2 linked regions of the Yarrowia lipolytica genome follow. The protein of the gene in region 1 interacts with the protein of each later gene in a biochemical or structural test. Links are inferred from orthologs where the notes say so. Each region holds a gene or a part of one and is shown in the gene's direction. Other genes may lie near its edges.

What was found.
Region 2: the proteins of YALI1_E33056g (region 1) and YALI1_F01405g form a complex in vitro, tested with the Saccharomyces cerevisiae proteins (2 studies listed by BioGRID). The link is inferred for Yarrowia lipolytica from reciprocal best matches to the Saccharomyces cerevisiae genes HSP104 and YDJ1.

The regions. Positions count from the first base shown.
Region 1 is NC_090774.1:3,298,330-3,315,737, reverse strand, and holds YALI1_E33056g (uncharacterized protein), read left to right. Parts: upstream 1-10,095; coding exon 10,096-12,759; downstream 12,760-17,408. Other genes in the region: YALI1_E33150g (uncharacterized protein), read right to left, coding at 1-546, 670-683; YALI1_E33112g (uncharacterized protein), read right to left, coding at 3,143-4,296, 4,432-4,486; YALI1_E33094g (uncharacterized protein), read right to left, coding at 4,807-6,294; YALI1_E33072g (uncharacterized protein), read right to left, coding at 7,924-8,475; YALI1_E33024g (uncharacterized protein), read left to right, coding at 13,347-14,087; YALI1_E33002g (uncharacterized protein), read left to right, coding at 15,553-17,408. UniProt on the Saccharomyces cerevisiae protein: Required, in concert with Hsp40 (YDJ1) and Hsp70 (SSA1) and small Hsps (HSP26), for the dissociation, resolubilization and refolding of aggregates of damaged proteins after heat or other environmental stresses.
Region 2 is NC_090775.1:132,274-148,012, reverse strand, and holds YALI1_F01405g (uncharacterized protein), read left to right. Parts: upstream 1-7,512; coding exon 7,513-8,967; downstream 8,968-15,739. Other genes in the region: YALI1_F01456g (uncharacterized protein), read left to right, coding at 2,345-3,034; YALI1_F01430g (uncharacterized protein), read left to right, coding at 4,924-5,460; YALI1_F01369g (uncharacterized protein), read left to right, coding at 11,017-11,535; YALI1_F01346g (uncharacterized protein), read left to right, coding at 13,359-14,690; YALI1_F01324g (uncharacterized protein), read left to right, coding at 15,418-15,509, 15,557-15,739. UniProt on the Saccharomyces cerevisiae protein: Probably involved in mitochondrial protein import. Is also required for efficient translocation of pre-pro-alpha-factor. Involved in heme regulation of HAP1, as a component of the high-molecular-weight (HMC) complex.

The DNA.
Region 1 (17,408 bases):
TGTCGGTCCTCGACGCTGAACGAGTCCGTCTTTCGAGCGAGCTCGGCCAAAAAGCCGTGGATGGACAGCACAAAGGGCAGCAGCACATCCAAAGATCGGCCAGAGGAGAGTTCATGGACCACAGAAATGTACTGGAAAATGTACCGGTGGGACTCTTCATAGAGAGCAGGGAAGTTAATACCGAGATCCAGCACTGCGGCAGTCACGGCCTTGGTAACAAGCTCCCAGGGGGACGGGTAGACCTTTCGGATGACGGGGCACTTGGCAAAAACCTGTTTGGGCGATTCAATGAGGTATTGGCCGAGCTGCTGGAGCAAGGAAGCAGCTCTGTCGATGTTGGCCACGTACTTGGCAGAACCAGCCAGAGCAAGAAGCACCTCCAGCTCCTTGGGACTCATGGGGATACCGGACTTGTCTTCTACCTGGCCAAGGGCAGAGTTGAGCTTGTCGAGATCCGAGTCAGCAGTGGGCGCGTTGGAAGTGGCGGCATACTTGGCCAGTTTGGCAAGAGCCTTGGCTCTGATAGAGAGACCAGCTCGAGAGATACTGTGTTAGTTTAACAGACTGAAGTGAGAGCTGTAGGTCTGAAAGCACATCACTTGGGGTGTGTACATGTTGATAATTGGCTGTCCGTTGAGGCTTGTGTGCCAGTTGCTCATCTGTACTCACCCGAAATCTTCCATTTCAGTCGTTCAGAATTTGGTTTTCCTGTTGTGAGGACTTGAAAGAGTGGTCCAAGATGACCTGTCTTTACTCAACGTGGGGTTGGGGGGCATGCATGAAGTCTGAGTCTAAAGTGGTGCGTGTGAAAGTTCGTGAGCGGGGTGAAAAGGAGACGAGGTACTGACGGTGTCCGAGTAATTATATCGAGGGTAATTTTTAGCATGTCCAACCAGACTCATTTTTTTCTTGATTCTTGATATACTTTGGTCTGCAGCTCTTCAGCTTGCCGTTCTGTAGTGGTCTTGTTGTGTCTCCACTACGGAGCTCTAGCCGAATTTCAGGGTGCAAGGGTCACTGAGACAATGATGGGGAAGTGAGACGAAGCCCTTGTAGCAGTTGATTGGACGTGGAGGAGTATGAAACTCGTGGGTAAATTCTCCACTCGTACTGTAGAGAGATAGACCAATTGGGGGGGAGGGGGGCTGTAACAGTTGCTGGTGTGTCTTGGGGCGGATACATCTTTGTTTTAGTTGCTGAGTAACCAAGTAAGCAATGTAATTTGTTGAGTCTTTACAACGGCCATTAAACAGTCATACAGTACCAACTGATTACAACGACACAACCCCAAAACTGATTCTGTTTTCACGTGACTGATTTGAAAATGAAGATGATGCACAAACCAGTGCTCTTCTTCGTTACACGCAACCCCGTATCCATACCTGACTTCCACGTTATCAGACATACGATGTCACATGTATTCGTATGTACAAGTACATACCAAACACCAGACTACAGTAAACCCATGCTCTTTGTACTTCTCTGCACACAGCACTACAGTATGTACAGTACTACAAGTATTGTGTCAAGTTGGACGTGAAATAGAGGTACCGGTTCACAGACCTCGTAGTCGTACTTGTAGACACAAAAAAATCAAAAAGAGGACGACAGGACTCGAACCCGCAGCCTTTGGAGGACGTCGTTCAGAAGAACCGAAATCCAATGCGCTACCATTACGCCACGTCCTCTCGGACTTCCTTAAACAGAGCGTTGAAACAATATATCCTGTTCCATGATTATGTAATCATAACGCCAATAACCCGGCTTTCTAGGTATATAGCTGTAATGAATCATTAGAATTGAAAAAAAAAAAAAACAGAAATACCTTTACCTTCTTCTGGTGTGTGCTACTATCGGAGCGTGATGTCCCTAGAAGTGGATTGTAAGCCGTTACATGAACCATCTAATGAACCATATCTAATCAATCATAGGGATCTTCATTATGTATGATCTTATATTTTTGTTTTCTGTAACATTAGGAAAGTGAGACTTCTGGTAGTCCTCGTATTTAATGTGTTATGATGCTATTATAAAAAATAAAACGAATGATGTTTAATATTGTTATCATGAGTTGAAGTGTATTGGATTGGGGGAACGAAGGTAAGGTCCCCATTGAATAGATACAAGTACAAGTATAGTATTTATATTTCTGTATTTCTGAACAGAGTTGCATCAATTGGGTTGGGTGGGTCCCTTATACAGTATCTTATATCCGCTAATCAGACTGAATATACAAGTATACTTGTACTTGTACTTGTACAAGTGACAATCATGCTCACAGTTCTCCGCAAGTTTCTCCTCTGCTTGTTGACTGGATAAACATTAAAATAGTAACAATCAAACATTAAAAATTCTGGTACTTGTAGTCGCCTCAAGCTGGACCATCTAGAGCTGCTGATAAATGAAGACGCAGTAAGCGGTGTGTTGTAACGTTGTCGTAGAATACGTTTGACGTGCATTCTTCGGGTCTGGGTGACTTAGTAGCCAGTGTCATGATGGTTGATCTTATAGACGATGTTTTTTTTTATTCTAGGGAAATACATTTCAGCTACTTGCGGCCTAAAGACAATGTTATACCCGCAAATCGGATTCGGATTCGGATTCGGTTATTCAGAAGAGCGCATGACATTCGTGTTCGCTTGTTCACGCATTCTTCCTGTTCCATCTCTAGACCGGATAAATATATCAACAATCAAACAAAGCGTTTTTTTAAGCGATTACATAATACACATTCATATTTGGTGACCCATGTTTTAGTGTTTTTTAAGATTCGGTCCCTTGGCCCAGTTGGTTAAGGCGTCGTGCTAATAAGAATTAGCTTCTTTGCAACGCGAAGATCAGCAGTTCGATCCTGCTAGGGACCAATTTTCTCTGGTTGTATAGTGTAGCGGTTATCACCTTGGATTCTGACTCTTGAAGTACCTTCCAGTAACCCCGGTTCGATTCCGGGTACGACCTTTTTGCCATTCTCGAGCGTTGTAGGCTTCTATTTTTGACTCGAGAGTTCTTTGGACTTCTGTCCCTGACCTCGACACACCGCAGACCTCTTTTTTGCACTTCCTACGTCACCACCGCTCAGTACAAACATATTAACTAGCTATACAGACTTACGACCAGCGTTGTGCCATGGTAGTGTGACTACTCACAGGGAACCAGTGACTCGTTGAATGGAGCTCGCGGTGCCGTACTTGGCTGGAGCGATTCCGACGAGTTTGTTGTCCAGATCGTAGACGACGTAGGCAGATCGCAGGAAGGTGTCTCCGAGAAGAACATAACCAGAAGAGTACTTGGTAGAGACAATACCAAAGACACACTGGTTGGAGTTGAGCCCAAAGTTCTTGAGAGGCATGATGAGCTGAGAAGAAGGAACAGAGATGGTCGAGCTTCCAAATTTGAAGTCCACGTTGAAAGAAGCAGCGTTGCAATCAATAGTGTATAGCTGGGTGTTGGGTTCGAGGGTTCCCAGCTTGAGCTTTTTCTGAAGACCAGCAAATGCAGCTTCAGGGATGTACGAGAAAGAGGTTCCGGAGTCGAGAATGGCATTTCCGCCGCTGGAAACACTCTGTCCATTTACCGAAATGTCTCCGTAAGCGACCTGGAAGGCGTTGGGCGAGGTCAGAGGCAAAGTCTCGAGAGAACCAGAGTACTTGGAAGAGTCAACAGCTCCGAAGAGGACAGAGCCGGTGGCCGCATCAATGGAATCAAGGTAGAGAGAGTAGACGTTTCGGGAAATGATTCCTGATTTCTGGAGCATCACAGGGAAGTTATCGTACTTGACCTTGGCTGCTTCTCCAGAGGCAAGACCAATTCCAAACACACCTACTCCCCCAGGGGCATCAACAGCACTAGCGAATTGGAAATCAGGTACACTAGCGCCTCCAACAGTGATAGTGTCCGTGACCCAGTTTCCAGCAGCGCTTCCAGAGACGTACTGGATAGAGAAGTCGTTAGAGACGAACTTGTAGGAAGAAGAGGCAGACGAGTCATATTGGCCGGTAGCTTGGCAGGCATTGTTGGCACAGTCCTGGGTGTCGTTTCTTGAGTAGACCCAAAGATCAGAAGAGCCAGTGTCAACCAGAACCGTGAATTCCTGAGCAGGAGTGCCAATAGTGATGTCAGCAGAGTAGAAGACGTAGTTCTGAGAAGTCAGAGTGACATCTGTCTGTCGCTTTCTGAGGACTGTGGTGTTGGACCAGAGGTGGCGAACGCCCTCGAAGTTTGCGTGGGGGCTGGACGTCTCCTTGGCGGTGTGCTTGGTAAAAGCCACAGCCAGGTATCCCAGGGAAGAGGGAGCAGCTGTTACCAGGGTGATCAGAGGAGTTCAGGTGGGCAGAAAAGCAGGGATTATATAGTAGCAGGTGTGTTGTTTGTGTTACCAAGCCAAATATACCTTACCCTCATTACCACTTCCCTACAGTACTCTTACTCTACACTTTCTCATCTCATCTCGCTTGTCCAACATGTCGTTACAGTACAGTAATGTCATCTGTCAAGGATAACTGTCAGTTCCTGTCGACTGTTTCGAAATCCGCAGATATCGGAAACGCTGTTATGGGTTGGAGATCGCGCCTGACACGTGAAAGATATGGCTCAAACACACAGCCGAATCCTGTGGCCATGGACTTCGGATTGTAAAGCCGATATGGCGCACCCACCCCTACGACGACATTTTCCGGTGAGTGATAAGATGGATTTCGCAATAAAGCATGACACTTGCGGTATATTATAAAATTCGAATGAAGAAATAAAAATTACTAAGCTATACTAAGAACGCAAATGCGATTTTTGAGGGTTGGGGGATCATATCTACGCCTCATACGACTCCTCCTTGACTGTAGGCTGCTCCTTGAGAATGTGTGTCTCGGTGAGAATGTTGGGGTCCTTTCGGTCGAGAATGATGGACTCCGAGGTATTGTCATCTTCAACATGGCCAATCTCCCGAATGACAGCAATACCGGTCTTATCATCTGAAGGCTTGTCAAGGGCAGTGAAAGGCTTGCCAGTGATGAGCGAGTAGATCTTAAGAACTGTCAGACGAACAGTAAGAATTCCGAAACCCCAGAGAAGAGAGCCTACAGGTGCGGCCACAAAGGCTCCAAAAGCAGACCAGTCATCCCCGTATAGACCCTCCAATAGAATAATCAGCTTGATACCCTCTCGGGCACTCTTGAAGTAGATGGATCCGAAAATGAATACTGTAAGCATACCTCCGAAACCGCCTCCGATGACCTCCCAGCCAGAAATAAAGTACATTCGCTTGGAAAGACCACAGAACATAATGGGGATAACGGCTGCCGAGAAAAGATCGGCAATCAGGAAAATGTTCAGAACGTTGGGGGCTTTGAGGGCAACCACGATGACGGGGGCGTTGATGCACAGCACAATAAGACGCACCCAGACCATGGGAATCTTGTTTCGGAAGAAGTCGTTGGAGATAGTGGAAGCCATCGCAGACTGAGAGGAGTCATAAGAAGCGACGGAGAGAGACAGGACAAATGCAACGGTGAACCCAATCACCCACCCAGGCATCTCCTTGAGAACGTAGAAGAAAGCGAGAGCAGATCGCTCGTCTCCGTACACAAAGACCTGTCCATCAATCTCAAGCTTAGCCCAGACAGCAAGCAAGCCAGTAAGACCAACAACGGTCAGAACAATAAGAACGATAGAGCTGGCAATAGCGCAGGCCCAGAATAGCTCAACATTGTTCTTTGAAGCAAAAGTTCGCATCCAGAAACCACTTAAGAAGCAATCGTTGGTAGCAATGGCAACAGGAAGAATGTAGATGAGCTTGTTAGCGAGCAGGTTCGGGCCCAGCATACCGGATTTGGCGGGTTCAGAAGGATCAACGTGGAAGTAGACTCCCAGACCAACACAAACAATTACCATGAGCACCAACATCATTCCTCCCTGGAAGTTGTCTGTGAAGAAAGATGTGTGGAAACCTCCGACAGCAGTGTAGATGGAGGTGAACACAGCCTCAACAATCAGGACGGGCAGAGCATCAATTCCAGTAAGTGTCTCAATTGCAGCCTGCACAGCAGCCAGCTCAGCAACCATATACAGATACATTGTTCCAATGGTGAGACAGGTGAGGTAGAAGGAAGTGAGCCAGCCGTATCTTAGTCGGGTCCATTCTGTGAGCACAAAGCCATCGGGGCATGCTTTTCGGACAATGGGGCCTACTCCGGCGAAAAGCATCATGGGGAGGGCAGAAGAGAGACCGTAGACAACCAAGCCCTCGACACCTGCTCGCACAGCAATGTCGGGATAGGCATTGAGGGTTCCAGCTCCCATGGCTGGGTTAGTAACGCACTTTCTCACGCAAGCATTATCTTGTTCGAGTGTGGCGGTGTAATCTCAGCCTTTGGAGGGTGAGACAGTTAACACCAGCGGTCGTTATACCGTCTCAAAAGCCTCCAAAAACACCCGCAGTGCAAGTCATGATTCTGTTCAGTTAGTACTCACCTGATGCCACAAAATTAATGGCCAGCGGAAGCGCTGTTTTTGTGTTGTTCGCAGACAAGAATCCTTCACTGCCCTGGTTCTCTTTCTTCTGTTTTCGCATGTGCAAGTAGCCAACCACTACTCCCATGACCAGGAAGAAACATAGGGTGCAGTAGATGATGGCGTTGGACGCCGGTTCAGAAATGTAGCCTGTCATTGCAGTTGTCTTGTTGCGATGAAGAGAAAAAAAAAACGTCTCTGTGGGCCAAGAGGAGCTATTTAAGAAGAACCTGTTGACGCACCTTGCTTCGCCAGTGACTAGCTTTTGACTCAAGAAAAGGTTGAGCGTGTGCTTGTTTAGGATATGGATGACTCAATACTATGCAACAAATGACTCAAGTGTTTGAGCTAATGTCTTTGGTCTGAAAGTTACGCCTACAGGGGTGTGGGGGGAAGTGCGGCTGTGAGCGATGCGGGAAATAGGTTCTACTGGTAGTGGGAGCAGTTTGTGGTACATTCCAGTTGATTATAGGCAGAAATAATCATACGTGATGTGGTTTATCGCCTCCAGCAACAACACAACGCACCGACTACTTTTCAAGTTGCTCCTTGTGTCAACCTCAATCAAACTCTCTTTTTTTACCAATTTTTTTTCCATGAAACTTTTTCCATCTGTTCTTTGTTGACCAACAAAGACTTGGCCAATGGCTCCCGCACGAAAACAAGTGTTCGGGAACCACGGCGTCTAAAGTTCGCTACAAGCGGCTTGGGTCTTTTGAGTCTTTTGAGTCTCTTGAGTCAAAGCGAGTCACCGAGACTCATTGAGACTCATTCACTTGAGTCATACGAGTATTATAGGTTACCAATAACGTTGGACTACACTTGAACCACTCTGGTTTGGCTGCTGGCTTGTCTTTTATGTCTATTGCTTATTTGCAAGGTCAAAAAACAACGCCGCTGTAGGAGTGAGATAGTTGCAAGTATGGGACTGACCAAGGAGGCCGTAGGTGTATATCTGATGGCGGCAAGCCGGAATGAATGGTTGCTCGAATCTGTGACTTTAAAGAACTCGTTTCTGCCTCTTCTCTTCCAAAGTACAAGTCGCAAGTGTCAGCCCCACATGACTCAACGACATGACTCAACGGAAGGGTAATATCCATGTGGGTGTCCCGATCAGTTGTCCCGATCAGTTTAAAAATGATGCTCAGGTAGGACACAAGACTAGGGAGCACAAAGAGAGCCTGTTAGACGTTGCTAATGTGGCTTGTCCTTCGATAACCGTTCAAGTACTGTATTATTCAGGGCCTGTACTTCTATATTATTTGTATGGAGCTGGTCATTGTGTGCTTGTTCGGTTGAGCTGCAATGCATGGTCGGCAGAGTGTACTTGTACAATGTAATTGATCGGGTTGCTTGTGATGATGCTTCTGTGTAAGATGGTGGAACTACCTCTGGGGTCCACAAAATCTCTCCGAACTGTCATTTTTGTATTACGATTATCTTCTTGTACAGTAGTTGGTGATAGCTTATTGCCCTTTTCATCTCGCATATTGGCTCCCATAGAATTAGAGATTCAAAGCAAATGCAAGCGAGGTTTGAGGTGAGCATAAGGCGCAGAAAAAAACCAACCGTGTTTTGGTTGGCCAATATGGGACATGAGAGAGGTACATAAATCTGCGTCAACTGGGTACATACGAAACGGGTAAGCACTTTGAGGTACAAGGAGCCTTGTCCACCCCAACGGCTCTTGTTCCCCTCCCCCACGGTCTCTTTACGATATTTTGGCCAATACTTTCCCATGTCTCGTGGATAGTCTCTTTCAGAGGTGCCATACGACATACTGTAACGAATCTTGGGTTCGGGCTCTAACGTATTCAGAGTGTGGGATCTACAAGAAAACAGGCGGTTATATAGCATCGGGAATCGATTCCGACACGCTTTCTTCATCGTGAGACACCGTGTAGATCGGTGGTAGGTACGGCAGGTACGGTCAATACACGCTGTAACCTTCTCCAGCCCGAGTGCAAGCATATCTCCATTGACAGAGATGCTGAAAATCTTCGCCGACCTCTGGGGTAATCAATTGTGGTCATTTGGAGTGACGAGAACGAGAAGACAACATGAGGCATACAAGCCAACGTTGACTGTGAAGGGGATTGTTTGCACTCTATAGCTACTGTAAATACAGTAAAGCACGTGCTGAAGAGAAAAGTAAAGATATCTTGCAAAAAATCTGATTTAAATACACTCGCTTGCGCTCCTTGTATCTGGTCGTCGCATACGACAATAAATACCTCTATGGCTGCGTCTGGTGAAACTCACTGACCAAACTCAGCTACAAGGATGTACGGAAGCATAAGCCTATAATGCCTAAAGAGAAATAAAATCCTGGTGTGAGTTGGCGAGGATAGCTACAGTAAGAAAAACACCCGTAATACAAGAGGGCCTCCACTCTTTTCCTGAGAGCCCAAATTGTGCAACAATGGCTTTGCCTGATGTCTACTGTGGTCATCTTTATATACCCACTATCAATTCCATGATCAGGTGTCCTCGTATTGTTGCAGCTAGCTACAGTATGTACGAGTACCGCTGGTAATCAGCTACTGCAGGCTACAAGTACTTGTAGTTGTACTGCGATGCCTTGACGGGTGCCTTGGTGAGATGCGGTGTTTACACGTGACAGTATGTTACTGTTACCGTTACCTGTAACAGTTACTATTGAGTGACCCACATAGGAGCTTCACGATCCTACAAGTACAGTATGTACATATGGTCAGTATAGCTGCGTTGTATGAACTGGTTACCTGACACAACACAGACATCTGCCCATTCGTCTAGCACCAGCGTCTCTGCATGCGCCAACAACGGCGTGGCAGAGAGAAGTCCAGAAGCGTTCTTTTTCAAACACGAAAAAGACACCGCTACCAATCTTCCACTAAGGCACCAAAAAGAAATGAGGTGTCTGCAAATCAATCCTCCTCCTTACACATGCATCGTCCTCGGAGCCACACATCCCTTGTACGAGTACAATACCCTTTGAGCCGCCTTGCTCCAGGATAATCCCGCCTGCACGATCGTCCCAACGTCCTTGTTTCCATGTGGTCTGACTGGTGGTACATCACAGTAACAAGCAGAAGTAGAGCACGTACATATGATCTATCAATTGAACAGTAAGAGAATACGATAAGAGAAACGTAAGGTCCCAGAGTATTATGTAAGGATAGACAATTTGTCAGGGATAACAGCAACATCCGTCTCGCTTCCCTCGTCCGTGGCACAAGGCAGATCACTTGGTTGCGGCCAGGGTGTGCAGAATCTGCGCGCCCTAATCCACTCGAACCATGTGAGGCGGACGAGAATAGGAACAACCATTGAGAGACGTTGCGGGGCGAATATTGCTCGGAAAAACCCTGGAAGGTTGTGGAATACATGTAAAAGTGGCAAAATGTAGGATTTTCTTCGAGCACCTTCTAGCATCTTCCATTGTCTTCGACCGTCTTCCGCCAGGTTCTCGTAGGTTCTACAACTCTAAGGAAGTCAAGGTGCAACATGCATAAAGCTATAGACAACTGAGGCAGCGAAGCAAACTTATATAGACCCGTCCGATCTGGAGATTCTCGAAACACACACATTAACACAATTACAACAAGAATGAACGAATCAGAATTCACTGACAGAGCTAACAAGATCCTCAAAACTTCCGTCGAGCTGGCCCAGCAGCACCAGCAGGGCACTCTCCAGCCAATCCATCTTCTGGCTGCCATGTTCGATGCAGAGGACGATGCCTCTGATCCTTACATCAAGGCCGTCGTAGAGCGAGGCAAGTACGATTGGGACCAGTTCAAGCGAGCCGTCAACAAGGCACTTGTTCGACTGCCCAGCCAAAGCCCTCCTCCCGACGAGTTGTCCCAGAGCCCCGCCTTCTCCAAGGTGCTGCAGAATGCCATCAAGTACAAGCAGCGACAAAAGGACGAGTACGTGGGCCAGGACCACATTCTCATGGCCCTTCTCGATGACTCCTCTATTGAGAGCATTCTCAAGGAGTGCGGTATTAAGAAGGACGTCATGGAGGCCAACATCACAGCCGTGCGAGGAAAGCGACGAATTGACTCGCGAACCGCTGACGGAGCCGACGAGTTCGAGTTCCTCAACAAGTATGCCATTGACATGACCAAACAGGCTCGAGAGGGTAAGATTGACCCTGTCATTGGCCGAGAGGAGGAGATCCGACGATGTATCCGAGTGCTGGCACGACGAACCAAGTCCAACCCTTGTCTGATTGGTGATCCCGGTGTGGGTAAGACCTCAATTGTCGAGGGTGTCGCGCAGCGAATCATCGACGGCGATGTCCCCAACGTTCTGGCTAACTGCCAGCTCTTCTCTCTCGATCTGGGAGCTCTCAAGGCTGGTGCCAAGTACCAGGGAGACTTTGAGGAGCGAATCAAGGGTGTTCTCAAGGAGATTGAGGACTCCAAGGACATGATCATCCTGTTCATCGATGAGATCCATATGCTCATGGGTGATGGAAAGGGTGATGCTGCCAACCTGCTCAAGCCCATGCTTGCTCGAGGTTCCCTCCACTGTATCGGTGCCACCACCAACGAAGAGTACCGAAAGCACGTTGAGAAGGATGCCGCCTTTGAGCGACGATTCCAGAAGATCGACGTGCGAGAGCCTACTATTCGAGAGACCGTCGCCATTCTGCGAGGTATCCAGAACAAGTACGAGCTGCATCACGGAGTCCGAATTCTGGACTCTGCCCTGGTTTCTGCTGCTCAGCTGGCTTCCCGATACCTCACCTACCGAAAGCTGCCCGATTCGGCCGTCGATCTGGTCGATGAGGCTGCAGCCGCTGTTGCTGTTGCTCGAGACTCTCGACCCGAGCATCTGGACTCCCTGGAGCGAGAGCTTGATCTGCTCATGATCGAGGTCAAGGCTCTGGAGCGAGACCAGCACGCCGACCAGGGTACCAAGGAGCGTCTTGATGCCGCGAAGCACCGAGTGGCTGACATTGAGGAGGAGCTCGGACCTCTGCGAGAGACCTTTGAGCGAGAGCGAGCAGGTCACGTTGAGCTTAACAACCTCAAGCACAAGGTTGATGAGCTCGAGACCAAGGCTCTCGACGCCGAGCGACGACGAGACACTTCCACTGCTGCTGATCTGCGATACTTTGCCATTCCGGATCTGAAGAAGCGAATTGTTGAGCTTGAAGAGGAGAATGCCGCTAAGGAGAAGTCCATGATCAAGGACGTTGTTGGCGCCGACCAGGTAGCTGAGACTGCGGCTCGACTGACTGGTATCCCTGTCACCAAGCTGACCCAGGCCGAGAACACCAAGCTCATCAACATGGAGAAGGTGCTTTCTCGAGAAGTTGTTGGCCAACCCGAGGCTGTCAAGGCCGTTTCCAACGCGATCAGACTGTCTCGATCGGGTCTTGCCAACCCCAACGCCCCCGCTTCTTTCCTTTTCCTTGGTCTCTCCGGTTCCGGTAAGACTGAGCTTGCCAAGAAGCTGGCAGGTTTCCTGTTTGCTGACGAGCAGGCCATGATCCGAATCGACTGTTCCGAGCTCATGGACAAGCACTCCGGCTCCAAGCTGATTGGTGCTGCTCCCGGATACGTTGGATACGAGGAGGGTGGTATTCTTACCGAGGCCCTGATCCGAAAGCCCTACTCCGTTGTGTTGTTCGATGAGGTTGAGAAGGCTGCTCCCGAGGTGCTCACTGTTCTTCTGCAGGTTCTTGATGATGGTCGAGTGCGATCTTCCGCCGGAAAGGTGGTCAACGCATCCAACTGTATCATTATCATGACTTCCAACCTGGGTGCGGAGTTCATCAACCGATCGACCTCGACTACCATTGACCAGTCCACTCGAGACCTGGTCATGGAGGCTGTCAAGGGCCACTTCCGACCCGAGTTTCTCAACCGAATCACCGCTATGGTTGTCTTCAACCGGCTGTCTAAGAAGTCCATTCGACGAATCATCAACATTCGTCTCCATGAGATTTCGAAGCGATTCGAGCACAACAACCGAAACCTCAAACTTCATCTCGATGAGGACGCCATGGACTACCTGGTGGAGAACGGTTACAGCCCCGACCTCGGTGCTCGACCTCTCAACCGACTCATCCAGAACGAGGTTCTCAACAAGCTTGCTGTCATGCTTCTGAAGCACCAGATTAAGGACGGCGAGGAGGTCCGAATCATCCGAGGAGACAAGGGTCTGGAGATTCTGCCCAACCATGACGGCGAGACGGACATGGAGCTGGCTGAAGATTCCTACGATGACTTTGACGACGAGATGGATCTCGACTAAGGTATTTTTTGCTAGGAGGTAGCTAAATATTGTATAAAATAATGAATTAACTGTATAAATGGATCGCTGTATCTCTACAGTAGTGTGTACAGTAACACGAACTGTGGTGGGTAATGATAGAAGAAATGAGAGTAAAACCGAATATTCTGAAAGGGACATTTCGCCCCACCCTTGGTCTGCTTACTAACTGAGTCAATCTCCGATCACAGTCTGAGCCAATGGAGGTATTACAATATATTCCGTAGTAAGTCGATATTCAATTCAAGTATGAGTCCACAAACAGTCGGACTATCTTGTTGTTACATGAATACGATCCGCCACCATACGTACCAAACAGCCTGCCGCAAGACACACACACAATCTACACATATATCGCCACCGGCCCATCACAGTTGCATACTGTCTGCACGTATGACATGACAAGAACTACACGTTGACGAGATCAGTCACAGTATACTCCAGCACGCAGCTGAGCTGCACGGTCATGAAAAAATTGTGCTGCAATGCAAAACATAAAGATAGGCAGTATCCACCGCAAGCCTGAATAACCACACTTCACCCCTTATTCAAAAAAATCAATCAACATAATGGCTACCCGTGCCCAGTTTGAAAACTCTGACGAGATTGGTGTCTTTTCCAAGCTCACCAACTCCTACTGTCTGGTGGCTGTTGGCGGCTCCGAGAACTTCTACAGCTCTTTCGAGGCCGAGCTCCAAGATACCATTCCTATTGTCTACTCCACCATTGGCGGCACCCGACTCGTGGGCCGTCTCACAGCCGGCAACCGACGAGGTCTGCTTGTGCCCTCCACCACTTCGGATGTTGAGCTGCAGCACCTGCGAAACTCCCTGCCCGACGAGGTCAAGATCCAGCGAGTTGAGGAGCGTCTATCTGCTCTTGGAAACGTCATCTGTACCAACGACTACGCCGCTCTTGTGCATCCCGATATCGAGCGAGAGACCGAAGAGCTGATTGCCGATGTGCTTGGTGTTGAGGTCTTCCGACAGACTGTTGCTGGAAATGTGCTTGTCGGCTCTTACTGTGCCCTGTCCAACCAGGGAGGTATTGTCCACCCCCAGACCTCCATTGAGGACCAGGATGAGCTTTCTTCGCTTCTCCAGGTCCCCCTGATTGCTGGATCCGTCAACCGAGGTTCTCCTGTTGTCGGCGCTGGCTGTGTTGTCAACGACTGGATGGCCGTTGCTGGTTACGCCACCACCTCTTTCGAGCTTACTGTCATGAGCAGTATATTCAAGCTCAACAACGACCAGCAGGGCGAGCAGTGGGAGCAGACCAAGTGGTCCCAGCTGTACCAGCAGATGGGTTAAGCACAGCCAGTCTGCTTCTCCTCGTCAACACACTGGTGTGCTGGCTGCAGTGCGAGCTCTACTCAACAGCGAGCATCGCTTAAACTATTATGCATTATGTATTTGGCATGGCCTGACTTCAAAATATGGGTGTGTCTCCAACGGATCAGTATTCCTTTGCATGGCACTATTCGCAGTTTTAATTAGATAGATAATACAAGCTGCCAAGGTGGGATTGTGTACCTGTACCGGTACTTGTAATGAGAGTAGGGTGTGGTATGACAGTGTACTATAACGAATGTCTTTGTAATTGTCTTCCTCCGATGTACTTCAGTGGTCACACACTGCTTATGGAAATAACGTAAGACGTTCCTTAGAAACACGCGCTTGAAGTCACCTCTGTACAGTAGTTTTCTTACATTAAGAAAATCCCACGTTGAAAAATGCTCCAAGCTTCAGCCACTAATGATAAATACTACTGTAGATGAGTTGTATCGTGAAGTCATGAGATCAGTGATTGTTGAAATGTACATGAGAAATCCAAGTAAAGCGGTCAAGCTTGTTGACTTGACCAACTGGGGCGTGTGTCTGTGTACTACAGCAGTAACAGTTCAGCATTCTCCTAAATAACCCTGGCTAATCCTGACTAACCCTGAAATTGTACGACTTCACCACAGTATGTACTGTAGGCCACGATAAGCTGTTCTGGTGCTACACCAAAACTGACAAATATTGGTGCGAAATTCTAGGCGACAACCAAGGCAATTTTTGTATTCTGGCGCTCTATTATAATCCAACTCACGACCCTCACCCCATAAGTAAATATTCGTACTCGTGCTGTACAATTACAGTAACTACTTGTAGTTGAAAATCAACTCACAGTACTACAAAATAGCTTACTAATGTACCCCCTCACTGGGTAATAAAAATACCCAGTACGATAGGTGGAATGACGTAATGTTTCATCCATGTTACACGTTAGAAGTTTCTCTATTGCTGCTAATGTTCAAGCTGAGAACTCATATATTTTTTCAAACCCTCTTCAATCGTTATCTCTTGGCAGATACCCGAGAACGGCATTATTATCTACTCGTCATGTAACTCTTCGCCGCAAGACTACAGTATTGAGTGTGGTTGTGGTTTTGAGCCGTTGGTGGGACAATGGTTTTTTCTTGCTAGTGCATCTGCAACATCACATGATTGGGGTAAGTAGAACCTTGTGGGGATGATGTAAAGATAGAGCAGTGTGTGGTGACAGGGTCTTGTTTATTTTTTTTTCGGCAAAGCAGTGTTGGATACAACCACTATACAAGTCACTCACACCTTGACATCGCATCCTCCCGCCCCTGCTTTAGCTCCCCTTCCGTGTCCACCAACAAAGCTAAACACATTCCCAAGGTTTGTGGGACACATATTACACCTAATTCAAGAAGTGCAGTCTGGCCCACACCAAGGTACACTCACTACAACCTGTCCATCACCACCCATGTCGTACCACGGTGGGCAGCACCCTCCGCCACCCATGGCGCACCCTCCGCATCACCAGAGCCACAACCAGCAGGCTCCCACAGGCTCGTCAAGACGTCTGTCTGCTCAGACCCCCATGGCCCGCAACTCGACTGCCATGAACTCCATTGAGTCCAGCGTCACCCATCTGCTGGTAGCAACCAAACAGCTGCTTGAGAGCCTCACGCAATGGGCCCGCGGAGCAGCCTCTGAACAGGACGTGTCCGACATCTACGTCAATCTGGGCAACGAGTTCAACATTGCCTGTCGAGCGTTTCTCAACGCCGGCTTGCCCGTCACTGACATGGGCGATGTGCCCCAGGCGCTGCGGACGGTGCTAGAAAAGGCGCTAAGCGAAGAAGCATCGCAGGAAAACCTCGATCTGTACCTGCCCAGCATTCGGGAAATCATCATCAACCTGCTTCAGGGTCTGAAGAAGAAACAGGCTGCACTTAGAGCAGCTCAAGGAGCACAGGCGCAACAGATCCCACCTCAACAATCACCCAAAAATTTCCGACCACACCCGCCCCAGCATCAATACGGACCCTCCAGACAGGTCTCAGCACCCACCTCTCTGCCACAGCACAAGGATGATAGAGACCATGTGCGACGGTCTCAAACTATAGGCTCAGCACCTAAGCAGCCAGGATTACCCAGTCCACCGGTGGCCCGACAACCGCCGCAGCCACCGCATATGGCCCCACCAGCTCACATGCCTCCTGGCATACCTGGAGCTATGGCTCAAGCCATGGCCCCTGCCATTCCCCAGGGCTCTCCGACCAGACGCCCGGGATCACGTGGAGACCCTCTGGCAGCTTTACAACGAGGAGAGGCGCTCGAAAGACGAGCATCCAGACGATTCTCGGCTTACCAATACGCCAAACTTACCTCTGGAGCACCTGGAAAGGCCGTTCCAGACATGCCCATGTTGCCATCGACTCCTCTTCCCGACGAGAGTGATTTAGGCGATGTGTCTACGGCTACAGATGTTGGAGGACCTGGAATGTCTTTGTTTCTTAGACTTGGAAATGCTACCAAAAAGGTCAAGGCTGACTCGGATGTCAACATCAACGCTCTGAGACTCCTATTCATCTCCACATTCAACTACTCTCCTGGAGCAGACGATTTCCCCAACATTTACATTCGTGACAAAAAATCTGGAGTGGAGTATGAGCTGGAAGAGTCGCATCTGAGCGATATCCACGACGGAACTATGCTGGTGCTACATGAAGAGGAAGAGAAGGAGAAGGAGAAGGAAAAAGAGAAGGAAAAAAGCGACGACATCCAGGGCATCTTGGAACATGTCAAGGCCATTACTTTTGCTCTGAACCAGCAGAGGGAAGAAATTGGAGACTTGAAGCTTATGGTGGAGAAGAAACCTCCCTCGGCAGCAGTCGGTGCCGGTACACAAGGTCCCTCTATCGTTAAAGCAACGGAGCCCATTGTCAAGACTCCCGTCATTGCTCCTCCAGAAGTGTCACAGGCCAAACTGTCCACTATTGCGCCTGCTCCTGTTCCCACTCCTATTGCCGACAAAGATCTTCTCAAGGCCAAGGCTGCCGATATGCATGCATTGAAGCACGAGCTGGCTGTTATTCGACAGCTCAAGGACTCATCCTTCACTCTCTGGAAGACTTCAATGAAGGACATTTCCGACACCATTGGCAAGCTTCGAGACTACTCTTCTCTTCCCGCCGCTGGAGACAACTCTCGAGCCTTCATGGAAATGGCCAACAAGAAGGTCTCTACTGACTCAGATGCTCTTCTCACTCGAGCAGACGATCTCCAGGACGTTATTGAGGCTCTTAGAAAGGATGTCGCTCAGCGAGGCGTTCG
Region 2 (15,739 bases), on another chromosome or scaffold:
GAAACGAGCTGTCTGTCGAACGGTGGTCTGGACCGTCTAGTTCCTAGTTCCACAACCTGCCCCACATGTATTAGAACGAATTGGCTATATGGCCTATTGGCGGGGGGAGGGGGACAATGTACCACCGTCTTCTTTCGAGATTCGGCTCCAACCACCCAGAGATATGCCCGAGAAAGCAAGATGGATACAAAAAAGACGCCTGTCTTCACGCTCGACGCAAGTTAGACACGGGACAAGCTCCGGTGGCAACGCTTGAGTCAGGCAAGACGGGCGCTTTAACTTGATCAGCCGAGCCACTCTAGATTTCTCATCCTCATAGACTCCAGGTTGCACTGTCACATTCTCATAACAACATACCCCTCATGGCCAAGTAAGATATGTGAGCTAAGAGCTGACTATTGCCTACCGCTAGACTCTTGTATTGTGCGCTGTGGGTGTTTAATTGTTCCGTACTTGCAGTAGAGAGAATCCGACAGTCGAGACTTGTACTGTAAAATCCCCCCCCCCCCCCCCCACGACGCAATGATCTGCTTGCAGGCAAATTTTTTGCTACTTGACAACCTCTCGAGAGGTTCGGCTCTACCTCTTAAGTTCTCGGGTGAAAGCTACTCTCTACCTTCTACGGAGTTATCGTTATAGCCAGTACAGTTTGTTCTTGGACACTTTTGGTAACATGATAACTGCGTGCAACTTTGGTATTTTATACCGTACCATACAGAACCTGCTTCGGGACACAGTCACCGGAATCATTCGGAACGGCCATGTGGGCTATCTGCACATCTACGTCGTACGTGAGACAAATAGGGGTATCACAAGTTTTATCGTCATGCTTCTGACCCCAGACAATTCACTTCAAGGTTGGGTTTCAGGTCACGAATCTGAAAGCCGGCCAGTAGATCAAAAAAAAAGTGAGTGCATAGTGGGCGGGCGAGCGAGCTGAGTCATTGAGAGAAAACGGCTGTGACCACGAGGTGAAAAATTTGCCGTAGTGCCGTTTGCCGCACTGTGTGGCACAGTTGCTGTACTCCAGAGTGCGGGCACATTGCATTCCACACCACATACTTGGACTTGCTTGTCTCATGACGATCAATTCCAGCACATACCTCTGGGTCTCACAAATGACGTCGACGGACTTGTAATGGAATTTCGCACCTTCTATTCAACGGTCACGCGCCCCCGGCGGATACTTTTTGCTCTTTCCCCCGGTCGTGAAACAAGAAATGTGAACCTCATCTCGGCCGCCTCATCTCGGCTAACAGGTGTAATGCCCACCCTGCAGCCACCGTCGGACATATCGGCTTGACAAGCTTTTCATTTCCAGGTTAATAGTGCATGGTAGGAGGGACAGACAATGTGACAGTAGTGGAATATGGCATGTTGAGCTCAACTACCACCTGTAGAGACCAGTGAATCTATCACCAACAAGTTTTCTTATCTGCCCTTCCTCCAAAATGTGGGCCAATGACAGCATGAGCCATGTAGCACTGTTCCCCGCTATATCGTGTTGCATTTATTTATTTGGCCCTATTAGCGGCTTTAATAGCACTCTTGGTATCATAATTGGTGATTATGAAGGAGCTGCGAAGATCGTGAGTCGGACCTTCTGCTAGACATACAGCAGACGGGAGAGGCAAGACAGAGGAATGGATTGAAATGTCCGAGTAACGAAATGAAATAATGTCAGTGACATGTCCGAAAGAAGAGTATAAATACAAATACAAGTACAAGTACAAGTACAGTAGTAATCTGTCGCCAATATGTCGATCAAATGGCCGTTCGTAGAGCCGTGTTTTAGGATAGCTAATTACTATTTTATTCGTACTTCTATCATATATTTCTTTATATCCCGAATGACTCAAACTCCCAACCTGAATGCACTGTTGGTACAGTATCACCAAACTCTACTCACAATATCCCCCTTTTCAACCCGCGCCAAACTCGAACCCACACCTTTTCGTCTCCCCATATGCAAACAAAATTTGCGGGGGGGGTGGAATTCCCACCAATAACCTCAGTTACAATCAGCATTCGCTAATGGGGGGTTGTCCGGAGGTTGCAACAAGTAGGTCGAGGGGTGGATAATGTGCAATTTTTGAAATAAATATATACTAATTTACATGCGGCCAATCATATGCCACGTCTAAAACGAAAATTCACCCACCAATACACCCACTGTAGACCATTCGTGGCCTGCGGCCACTCATTTCAAGGAACCCTAACCTCGTCCCTCCCAACCGTCAGCCAATGAAAGCAAGCAAAATTACGTGACAAGCTTAAAGGTGTAATACTGCTTGGAGAGGGTACAACACCACACACATCACCACCACACACAAACCAAAAAAAAATGTTGAGTCTGGTCCGACCCGCTGTCACCCGATCGATTCTGCGAGGCGCTCCCGGATCCATGCGGCTGCTGTCCTCCACAGCCCGGCTCCACGCCCCCGCCACAGACTCCGCCATCAACATCTACGCCGGAGGATCTGCCGCTGCTGCTCCCCCAGCAGGCTTCCGAATTCACAGACCCGCCACCTGGGAGGAGAGCGAAGAGGGCGCTCTTTCCAAGGCCACCAAGTACTTTTTGCTGGCCGAGATGTTCCGTGGCCTGTACGTTGTGCTGGAACAGTTTTTCCGAGCTCCTTACACCATCTACTACCCGTTCGAGAAGGGACCCGTCTCTCCTCGATTCCGAGGCGAGCACGCCCTGCGACGTTACCCCAGTGGTGAGGAGCGATGCATTGCCTGCAAGCTGTGTGAGGCCATCTGCCCCGCTCTGGCAATTACCATCGACGCTGAGGAGCGAATCGACGGATCGCGACGAACCACCAAGTACGATATCGACATGACCAAGTGCATCTACTGCGGCTACTGCCAGGAGTCGTGCCCCGTGGACGCCATTGTCGAGACTCCCAACGTGGAGTACGCCACCGAGACTCGAGAAGAGCTGCTGTACAACAAGGAAAAGCTGCTTGCTAACGGAGACAAGTGGGAGCTCGAGCTGCAGTACGCTCTGGACGCTGATGCTCCTTACAGATAGAGAGGGGAAATGCATTTTTATTAGGAGAGCGAGCAGTTGGGGTTGCGGAAAATAACAGGACTGTAGCGACTGTTGTTTTACGGCTCCATCTGCGAACGAGTGTAGCTATCAGTGTCGTAATAAGAGCCAAGCACTACAACCGGAGAGCGCATGTGTTGTAAGAAAACACTTTCTATTATCCGCCCATCTGAGTGTTGTAGGCGCTCTCTTTACGGTCAATTCAGTTGTAGTGCTTATTGGCGAGCCACATTATGTACGAGTAATGTGCTCGAGCGAATACATAAATAACTGTGCGGAGACAGTATTCATCATATTAGCACCTTGTACAGTACAAGTAAAGTCTTGTCCATCCTTTGAGATTGCTTTTGTCGATTCAAGATGGATATTGTATAAGTACTCGCGCAATTGTACACACAGTATTGTAGATCTGCAGGATATGAGTGGATGCAGTATGTTACGTGTGCTACACATTACCACGTAAATCACGATAATACGGAATCTAAATGGTTCTGCGGCTCAATAACACTCAATAACGGACAGATTCTGGACGGATTCTGAACACATGTCTTGCCACATGTCTCTCTTCCCTAGCCTAAGACAACCTCCTGACCTTCAAGTAGAGTGTATATCTCATCATCTCAGCATCAAAGTGTAGTATCAACAAGTGGTCTCGATATATTTGCAGCTGTAGACTTTTGGGCATCTTTGTAATGTCGATTTAAAGCCCCAGATTAGCGAAATCCAATGATGTATTTTTCATGTCATTGGACGTTGTATTCGTTGTTCTAGGTCGACGCTGGTTGTGATTACTGTAGTCTCTAGTCGACATTTTAGTTGACAACTTGTTGAGGCAAAAATACACCTGGGAGTTCGTTTGTAGTGTTCCCGCAGGGATGGAGAGCTAATATTTATATTTATAGATACAAAATCATCTAAATAAAAGACTTATCTCGGTTCAAATGATCTACATCAAGATCATGGATGAATATGTGCACTTCCATGTGTATTCAACCTCCATAGTTAGTTGACAAATTAGTGAAATTGGAATACACTTTTTTGGAGATCTACAGGACAGCAGTTGGTGAGCGAGAAAAATCACGTGCTGTTGTATTATCAGTGAAAGTAATGCAACAAACTGACACTGAAATTTCTCTTTCACTCATTTTGGGCCTTGTACTGGCTCGTTATGTTGAAAATTGGCCATGTTTGAAAGTATCTCTCAAATCAGTCAACTAAATAAGACCCTTCTCAAAACCAATTGTTTTTTTGATTATGTAAGCTTATCATAACTCTGCACTTGAGCACGAGGTGTCTAATTAAGACATCCCAGAGTGATCCAAAATGGTTTAAATTACTTTAAATCCATATAAACTGAGTATTTATTGTATTTATAAAAAAACATTAGCCGCATATCTTCACATTGCCCTTCCCTTATGGCACACCAAGTTGGAGATATGCTGTAGAGTCTACTCTCATTAGGTCCAACACCAGTCTTAGGAGGTTTGTATGGAAATGAAGTCTTGTGATCTGAGTAATAAAGCCATATAAGCAATATTCTCTAGTCTAACAGTTTCTCATCGAGTTCCATTCGGCTGTTATATGGCTTTGATGGCGTCCAAGATATGAAGTTCATCCAACTTGGATGTCTGACATGAGTTACGAGATAAAATATGTGTGAATAATACTTTTCACGAGATTAAAAACAAAAATGTCTTTCAATATTTCCGATATAGCATCGCTAGGGCCGGTTTATACAACCCAGTGCTCCGTCCCTCCCTCGCTTATGTAATACAAACCCTAAACCTCGACATGCATGATTTCGAAAATTATTTTTGTCGTGCATATCTGTATCCAAGACAAACTCATCACCACCACATTACACACAAAAGATGGGCGTTTCAAGTGCTTCTGAGGCCACCGTTGCCAAGCTACTGAGCCGAACGCTTGCTCCGTCCGAGGACGTGAGCCGACGAGTGCACAAAAAGAAGTCTGCGACCCAGCGAAAGCTACGGCAGAAAGAGCAAAAACAGAAGGAGGAGCTCAAGCTGCTTCTGGACAAGGAGCTCGCTGACAAGAAGCGCAAGGCTGAGATCAAGAAGAACGCGCGGCTGGTGCGATCCTATGACGTCAAGGAGTCCGAGTACGCGATGGACGAGGAGCAGCTTCAAGCCCAGATCATGAAGCACGTCAACTCCAAGCGGGGCTCCCATATGCTCAAGTCCAAGCAGCTTGCTGAGCTCACGGGTCGTCTGCCCAAGCCTAAGGTGAAGCACAAGACGTATCCCAACTATGTCGAGCCTGAGGAGGAGGAAACTGAGTCTGAGGGAGAGGATGAGTTTGAGCGGTACAAGGGTCAGCCTGGCTTGACTCCTGGTCTGGCTCCTGTGGATTACGAGTCGAGTGACGAGGAGGAGGTGGATGAGTGAACTTTGCGAACGAGCGAACCCATCTGACAGCCTGAAGGTCGTGCTCAACATTCCTCGCCGTGACAGTTGTACGGATCAAACGACCCGTTATTGAGTGGGCTGTTGCAGAGATATCTGCAACATTACTGGACGATTGGCAAATCATTCACAGCTGCATCACTATGGCAGACGACAACAGCATGGATTTATTGCATTAATTTATTGTTATTAGAAGTGAAGTACTGTACTGTACTGTACTTGTAGCTCGTACTTGACAAACAGAGGTCTACTCTCTCGAAGGTGGTTATTTGGTGTTCTGGTAGCTAAACCCCTTCAGGGTACATTAGTCCAAACTAATATAGGTAATGTTGAGTCCTACATTTTGGTCAATCCAGGTATATCGAAATATATTAATATATATTCGGCTACATTTTTTTCTCAAAGATCCTCCTTGGATCTCGAACGACGCTGGGATCTGTATTGAACCTCAAGCTGGCATTTTCTCTAACTAACTTCCAAGTAAATGATCCGACAGAGGTAAGAAAAGCGTACATTCATTTCAAAGGTTATTCTTTCACAGCAAAGTTATAATTAAATGAATGTATATGCAGGAAAAAAAAAAAAAAAAAGTAACGGAAGGACAATGGTAAGCCAGCTATAGCAATCTGCTGATCAGATTTCTGCAGTTCTTTTCAATCAATCAACCAAGTCATCCAATGAATCTAATGGACTTGAGTGGTTCAAAATAAATCTCTTATCCAGCAGATCAAGATGTCTCCATCCAGTCCCAGTAACATACTACTACAAGTAGGAGTTCCGATGTGAGCACCATCACACGAGGCTTCAAAAGCTGTTTCAAGAGGTATTTCGGACGCTGAAATTCATTTATTCAGCCCGGCCACCTTCTTAAAGCTTCTAACTGCTCCAAAATCGTTATCGATTCAATACCAACGAAGTTGCAATCCTTCACCGTTGGTTGTTTTGCTACTTGAATCTTTAGTTGACTCCCCTTCTACTTGTCGGTAATTTTTAAGCCCATCTACACATCACTCTTTCTCAGCTCCTAGAACACCCTAGAACTTATCTCGTGGACCCCAAACCGGTCCCCACTGACCACGAAACTTCCATGCTGCTTCGATTGCGTATACCTTGCTATCTGAGGCACCAACCCACGCCCCAGCACGTCGTTTTTACTCGTGCCCAGCGTGCAATTAGATTGTGCATCAGTGATTAACTCGAGACAATTGGGATCCGAGATGAGGCGGTTGAAGGGATGAATAAATATCACGCAAAAAGAATCAAAATATACTGCCCATGGCACACGTATATTTATCACTATTTTTGCGTGATATTTAATTGTGTCCCCACCATCGCCCTTCCTCGATGCGATCCCGCTCCCGTACCTGTAAATTATAACTCGCGATTACGTCACTAAGTTGAGCTCATCGAACATTGGGGAAACTGGAAGAAGGTCTTGGAACAAGAGCTCGCACAACTGAACACTTTATGCACGACGTCAGAGACCCCAAAACGGCCGCAAAATGGAGCCAGAGACCCGATTTCGCGTGGCAAAAATACACAGCAAAAAACCACTCCCACGCCACCCCACCAACGCCCTTCTTTCTCCACTGGCACGGGACTGAGCAGGCAGTGTCTGGATCTTTCTACACCCTTCTTTGTGAACCTTATTCGCGTTAAACACTCCCAGTACTCTTTGTGCCCTCTAACTTTCAGGCCCATCCTCAAATTTTTTGGCAGTGTATATACAAGCCAATCTACGAGAAGTTGAGGCCTCCTGGAAAAATTAGACCTAGACTCTCACAACAACACAAACACACGACACAGACAAAATGGTCAAGGAATCAAAACTCTACGACGTTCTCGGTGAGTATGAGAAGAGAAGAGAAGAGGAGAGTGAATGGACGGAGCGGTTGAGATGAAGCTGAATAGTATGAAGACCACACACAGACTTGTGATCAGAGTCTTATCATATCAAGGATCAGAAGCGAAGCGAAACTGTGGTGATGTTGAGTGGGAGGGATTGGCAATGTGACAATGTGACAATGTGGCAGTATGAATATGAACACAGTGCAATCTGAGGATGGTTCTGTGTTTGTGTACATGACTGGCTGTTCATCTGGATTTGTCACACTGGTTAGTAGCAATGTTGCGGCTCTCTCATTACCATCCTGCGATTGCCATGACCAAACCACACAACCTGGTATTACCAGACACGCTACGTGCTCCCACATCTCTCCTGTCTCTCGCTCAGTCGTGCCACGCACCCCGAAGTGCTTTACTAACCCAGGCGTCAGCGTAACCGCCACCGAAGTGGAAATCAAAAAGGCATACCGAGTTGGTGCTCTCAAATACCACCCCGATAAGAACCCCGGCAACGTCGAGGCCGAGGCCAAGTTCAAGGAAATCTCCATGGCCTACGAGGTTCTGTCAAACGACCAGAAGAGAGCTGCATACGACAACTTTGGAGAGGCTGGCCTCGGCGGAGGAGCCGACGGAGGAATGGGCGGCGGATCTGCTGAGGAGCTGTTTTCGCATTTCTTTGGCGGCGGCGGTGGCATGGGCGGCATGGGCGGCATGTTCGGCGGCGGCCAGCCCCAGGGCCCCCGACGATCCCGTGACATTGTTCACGCCGTGTCCGTGACCCTCGAGGACCTGTTCCGAGGAAAGACCTCCAAGATGGCTCTCAAGAAGACCGTGCTCTGTAACGGCTGTGACGGTATCGGAGGCAAGGCCGGCTCCGTCAACAAGTGTGAGACCTGTAAGGGTCAGGGATTCAAGTTTGTCACCCGACAAATGGGCCCCATGCTGCAGCGATACCAGACCAAGTGTAACGACTGTAACGGCGAGGGCGAGATCATCGACCCCAAGGATCGATGCAAGGACTGTAACGGAAGAAAGACCAAGGAGGAGCGAAAGGTGCTCGAGGTCAACATTGATAAGGGTATGGTCAACGGACAGAAGATCACCTTCTCTGGTGAGGGTGACCAGGGTCCTGATATTATTCCTGGTGACGTTGTCTTTGTGCTGGATGAGCAGCCCCACGCCCGATTTGTCCGACGAGGCGACGATCTGTACTACCACGCCAAGATTGATCTCAACACTGCCCTTACCGGTGGCTCTTTCATGATTGAGCATCTTGAGAAGGAGGAGTGGATCAAGGTGGAGATCATCCCCGGCGAGATCATTTCGCATGGCACCACCAAGGTCGTGGAGGGCAAGGGTATGCCCTCCTACCGACACCAGGTTCACGGCAACCTGTTCATTCAGTTTGAGGTCGAGTTCCCCGCATCTGGCTCTCTCAACGAGGAGACTCTGCAACAGCTGTCTGCTCTTCTGCCTGCCAAGCCTGCTCTTCCCAGTGTGCCCGAGAGTGTCCATGTTGACGATGTTGTTCTGGCTGACGTGGATCCTCTCAAGCACCGAGGAGCTATGGGCGGCGATGATGAGATGGACATGGATGAGGATGGACCTGGAGGAGCCCAGGGTGTCCAGTGTGCTTCTCAGTAAGAGATTAAGTACGGTTATATAGAAACTCTATTTATGTTGCAACCTTGGAGGTGACAAGATAGTAGGTAGATAGAGGTTAGAATGGATTGATGATATGAGAAGAGAGCCTGAGGATCTAGTCCGCTGAGGATCTAGTCCGAATGAGAACAGTAGTGTAGAAGGAGATGTGAGTATAATTGTTTGTAGTTCGGCTGTCTCCACGGATATATGAGTACAGGATGTACAGCACAGTACATATGTTGGTGACAATGTAGGTGTGTGTACATGTTCGCGCAAAGCTATGAGGATCCCACTGATATCTCCGAACACATGCCATATTGAAGTTAAGAGGTACATTCGATCGTATTTATTTGCTTTTTGATCTGGTTCCTGAACTACTGTAACATGACTGTCTAGGCTCGAGAGCACTTCTTGTACATGTAGTGTTCGAAGCAGAGAAGGGTGGTGCTATTGATTCCAGGGTAGTTTTTGGTTGTTTGTGCCACTATGTGATAGCTGTTTTGGTATACTTGTACAGTAGCTACTTGGTTTAGATGAGTAAGCGTACGTAGTTATTGAACAGTATAGTGTTCTTAGTAGCTAACACCCATATATAGATATATTGACCCAATTGGATCATGATAAATGAGTTGTCTGTACAGTACTTGTACAAACCGGTATTATGAATAATGGCGGACCTTGTCGTATCTTTTTCTATTTGGATTGATAGGAGCAACATTCAAGCGTCTTGTTCTTGGGCGTTGGCTGTGTTTGGACACATACCAACATCCCCCTTTTTTCCGCCATTATTTGTCTATGTTAATAAATCACTAGAGAAAAAAGACGATGGGGAATCCAACGGTAGTATTTAATCACAGGAGGGCTAGTGAATGAGACTAGTTGATGGGTTCTTAGAGGGGGTTTAAGGTGGTGAATCAGTCGTAACGTTCCTGCGTTACAATAAATGGTACAGTAGCGTGTCTGATGGTGAGTCTAGAGTTCCGAGTACATGACCGAATGAAACGGGAGTTGCGGCTAACAGATATTCACAGAATCCTTGAATGATTAATTGACTTATTTTCCTCATGTCATGTTTTCCTCATGTCAAGTTTTCCTCATGTGGGTATGTTTTCCTCATGTTATATCCTCTGGATGTCCAGTAGGGGCTTTGCTGTTTGACTGAATGGATGGATACTGGGGCAGTAGTCCTGTTACAACTACAGTACTGGTTGCAAATACTCATCTACTGTTGACATGAGTAGTACATACTGTGACACCCAGTACAGACTACAAGTACTTATAGCATGTTATTTCGGGCTCCCCTAAGATGTCGGTTCTTGTCGTTCAGCAACTGAGACACCAACGGTAGATAATCGAATGACCCCGCTGATTACTACTTGTAGTGGGAATGGGCAAGCTGGTGACGCTCCTTTTTACCGCTCTCAAAGGCTCAACACACTCTCGTACTCGTATCTACACATACCAGTACATTGTTCGATTGACATCCAAAGATGAAACATTGACCCCACCATACAAGATTGTCCATTTCTCACAAGTTTTCGGCTCCATCTCTCACACCCACAGTTTACATCTGTGGCTTCTCTTCAAACAAGCTACCTGTACTTGTAGATGATTAGGTTGGCTTGGCTCTCCATTTGAATCCGTCGCTAGCTCGAAAGCAACTCGTATTCGCTTCTCTTTCCGTTCGCTTAGCTTTGCTTCCCCCAGCCTCTCGCGAAGTCGACAAGACGCCGCCTATAGCTACATTTGTAGGTATGTCCTTGAGCTGACACTGTGTGACTACGGGATCAGCTGATGGGTAAGAGTTATGGACACTATCCGCGCTCTACAGTAGTGGCGCTAGGAACTTCAACTAAGGCGGCTCTCCGCGCTACTGCTCTTTGTGATGCTTTAAAACGCCCGTTAGTGTGGCTAGACGTGATTTGTGGGCGTAAGGGTGAGCCCACTGGTGGATAAATGTAGCGTGGACTCCAGATACATACCAGTCTTGATTTTCTTCGCCATTCTCTCCGCCACTCGTGTCTCATTGAATGCAGGTCGTCCACGGAAATGCACCCATGTCGTATCCAAGGTCTCAGAGGACGTGACCATACTCATTCGATGCTGTTCCACATGTCTTTGGTAGCAAGCAAGTGCCGTGTCTCACAAGCGTGCACTTGTACACTTGCTCGACGCACTGATACGACCACAGAGGCTACTAATCGAGCTACAAGTAGAGACAAGTATCGTACATGTCTGGGTGGAGTTGAAGTACAATTCAGCTGTACTCGTACTGTAGGAAGGAACCAAAGGCAGCCAACTATCGACACAGCCCCAGAACATTGGCTTCTGTACGTTCATATCTTGTGCCTTGCTCTGTACCTGCACCAGCACCAGGAACGGATCGAATATGGTAATGCAGCCATACATGATGGACGGTTCGATAGAGAGATTCACTTTGGGGTCGCTCTCTTTTGCCTTTGGTGGGCTCGACAAAGAGGTGGCTGCAAGATGAGATATGGACAGATGAGATGTCCTTGTGAGACTGTAGATCGTGGTGCAGTAGGTGGGAGGGGGGTTCACTTTTGAGTATGTTTGAGAGGAGGTAGTCTGTTTGAAAGCCGTTTGGTCAATCAATTGAGCGATTCTGGGTCGATTTCAGCTTTCCTCTTGTCTCTGCGACCTTTACTTGTCCGTTATACCTGTCTCCTCTCGTCTCGCGTCCATTTCCCATTTAGACCGTGTTCATCGCGACCCAGACCCAGACTACCCTTAACGCATGGTGCCGATCACGCACACCCTTTTCCACACATGGTTTCAGTTTGGAATGATGGTCGACGTGTCCATATCGAGCTTCCTGAGCTCTTCTTCCAGCCTCCTCATGTCAGGGGTACGTGTCATGTGACCGCGTCGGATCCGTTTATAACAATTTTCTGTATGTACTGTAGATGCTAGATGCTCGGTAGACACTTGTGGTTGTCACACTTCCTGTAGAGTCCCATTGGCCCTCCACAAAGGCAGGCAGCCAAATTATGCTGGGGATATTATTTGAAAATGAAGACAAAACAATGCCAATATTACGAGCTAGCGTTTTCTAGTGAAACGTCTTGTGAGAAGACTCTGACAACTGACACACAACTGCTGGAGCCCCCGGAATCTACTCGGATACGTCTACCTTTGGTCGCAGTACAGTTTTATGATTGTAGGGTTATTTTGGCTTGATTTACTCCTTGATTGAGAGACTGGGGAACAGAGCCCCTACGGGCAATACCAAGGAAAAACGGTGCTCGCGCCGGAGTGTGGTACATTCCGAGGCCTTTGCAAGTGGATACCCTGGACAATGTCTGCACGTTGAGCTGGTTCTCGCTGCTGCTCCCACGTTCATACGTCATCCCATACCTCCGTTGAGAGTGGTCCTGAAACCAACAACGAAAAGCGTGCAGGCCTGCCAAATCTAAAACCGCAGGTTTCACTTGGGTGCACTGGTGTCGGTTAGTTTTAGTGCGTGAAAAGATGCATTTAATTTTTGCACGTCTCACGTTGAAACACGGGTGCAAAACAAGGGTGCTTCAGATGCGACTATCAGGAATGAATGTGAGTCGGCGGATGGCTGGAGGGCACGTGTGGCCGAAATCTGGGGGACTTGCAGCTGGTTTCGGACCGTCCTAGCTGGGTATGTACACGTTGTACTGTACGAATGTATGCCGACTCTGTTGATACTCCCCCTCCCGACGCTCCCACACAGTCTTGTGTTGTGCACCCTCCACAGTAACAAGACTATAATCAAGTACTGTAAATCAAGGATGTCAAAAAAAGGACAAAAAGGTCAAAAAGAGACAGTGACAAAGGCAAGGGGTAAAGAGTAAAGGGCGAAGGCAAGGTACGAGTGGAGGACTCTGCTGCCATGACGCCAAAGTGAAAACCGGAAAAATCAATGTTGGGCCCCAAAAAAAAATTACAAATGCCCTGCCCAATCTCGCGGCGCCGTCCTCACGCTCCAAGCTGGCGTTTGGCCATCCCACAATGGATATTTATAGCACCACAGCGCTCACATGGGAGCACAATAAACTCACATGAGCTACCTCCCACATGTGGGTGCGTACACAAAAATAGATCAGAGTGCCAGCCTCAGACGAAGGTTAAAAAACAAGGTGCACACTAACTTTGCCAAAAAGCCAGAATAGACTCCCTTGTACATACATGTATATTGAATATACATTGGCCTCACCACCACCGCACAACACAACACACACACACACCAAAGTGCGACGTACTCACGCCCGAGAACCAACTCATCTGGATACTCGCAACCCCCACGCGCACCCGGCACTCTCCCGCAGCTCTCACGACTCGAGTCCCGTAACGACAGGCCCAGAACCAACCCCAACTCTCCTCACCTCTCCCAGATACCCATGAACTGCTCGGTGGCCGACATGGCGGGTTCGCACGTGCCCTCCAACCACCACCACCCACAAGCACAACAGATACACGATCCCGACGCCATGGACTCGTTGCCGGCGCCGCCGCGCCACCTGCCGTTCCGACCGCCCAAGGGCAAAAACTCCAACACCAAAAACCTGTCGTTGATGGTACCTCAAGGTAGCAACCAGAGCCACAACAGCCACAGCAATAACAATGTCTCGCCGCCTCACACATCTATAGAGCCTTCGATAGCGGCGCCGCTGCCGTTTGTGCTGCCTGTCAGCTCGACGCCCGTGCGAGCGTCCGCCCCCTCGGTTGCTGCTGCTTCTCCTCTGGCAGCCTCCTTCTCGCTGGGACTGTCTCGCAAGGGTTCCGTCAAACGATCCCACGTCGACGCCGAGCCCGAGGACGCAGCCTACGACAGTGACTACCGCAGCGAACACAAAAACTACCACTCCAGAACCTCCCCAAAGAGACAGTCCCCCAGTCCGCAGGTACAACCAGCCGCTTCTGCCACTGTGTCTAGTGTGCCTCCCTTCAGTATGGAACCACCACCGTTTACGATGCAGAGACGAACATCGCAACTGAGTATCAGTATCCCGCTGGCCACGTGCTCCGGCTCAAACACTCTGCCTGCCCCCTTGGGCACCCCGACGTCCCAGTCGCACCATTCCGCCAACTCCGCGGCCTCTCAGCTGTCGCTGTCGGACTCGGAATCGGACCCCAACTCCGATAACACTACACACACTACACCGCCACCAAACTACGACGATGCGCTTCCACCCAGCAAACATCACCTGTTCGCAGAGGAGCTCATGACTCCCTCCGTGCACCATGAGAACGCATACCCAGATGGACCCTTGCTCATCTACCCCAGCAACGTTTACCTGTACTCGGAGCCTTCTGTGGAGCTCGCCCGTACGTTCGACGTGGTCATCAACGTGGCCAAGGAGATTGACAACCCGTTCTCCGAGGAGCAGTATGCTAATGATGGACAGACCAACCCCGAGTACGTCTACGTGCCCTGGGGACACAACTCCAAGTTCCTGCCTGACCTGCCGTATCTCACGCAGCTGATTGATGACAGAAGTGCTGCTGGCAAGCGTGTGCTGGTTCACTGTCAGTGTGGAGTCTCAAGAAGTGCGTCGCTGCTGATCGCTTACATTATGAAGAAGCAGCAGCTTGATCTGAATGCAGCCTATGACTGGGTCAAGTACCGGTCGCCGGAAATCGGACCGAACATGACGTTGATTTTTCAGTTGATGGACTGGCACAAGCATTTGCTGGGCGAAAAGGATGCGTTGGAGAGCGACGAAGATTAGGTGCCAGAGGCTTTTGTCAGTCTAGGCCGGCTACACGCTCAGTTTTATGCGAGCCAGAAGTCCTGCCTTGAATTAGGGCTCTACAGGGGACTTCACCATCGCGACACCCGGTCTACTGAGTCCTGGACCAAAAGCACTCGAGTCTGAGCATTGATGCAGACTATAGGGCTCAGAGGAGGATCATCTGAAATGAGGCCTCCATCTCAAGGCTCATATCTGGAGCTTGTGATCCACAAGATATTTCTCACCAGCTTCAAGGACACTAATCACTTTCCCTCTATGCAACACAGTGCGTTTGTTTGGGGCCTGGGCTCTCACGCGCAGGCTACTGAACCCGTACTTCTACTTTTTGTCACTGGATGACTTCGATGGACACTCAACCCACCATATATTTATTCTATTGCATCTTACTTGCAGATTTCATTTCAATACATCTTGATTTCTATCCGGGGTTGTAATAGAGTGAGGGCTAGCCGTGGCCATCTTGGGCTCCTTTCGGGACTCTCGGGACTTATTTAGGGGTCGTCATGACTTACTTAGGGGCCTCGAGGGTCTCTAGATCATTTGCTTATTTATTCTAATTTATTCTAACTAATTATAATAACTGATTAAGACCACCCTATTATGTACTGTACCGGTACTGTAATCACGAAACGTCTTTCAGACCGTTATATGTGACATTACATACTAGTGCTGATACTGTCACATCTGATACACACACTCTACTATGTTATACACGCTGGTCTGCTATTTATTTTGTACAATTAATTTTTTGTCCCTCTGCATGTCAATATTATGTCGAGTATATCCCATATTGCTGTAATGTAATTACAGTGACTGTCAACAAGTGTCAGTCTGAAGAATAGTATCAGTTATGGAATCGTTCACAAGTATAGTACAAGCTCCGTGCAAGTACTTGTACCGTGTAATCCAGGAACACCACGCCTGCTGCCAGACTCTGACATTTGTCCGGATGTTTCAACTGCACCCTTCACCTTGTGCATGGGACATCTTCTCATGACAGAAAGGGAACAGAGTTCGGTTGGTGC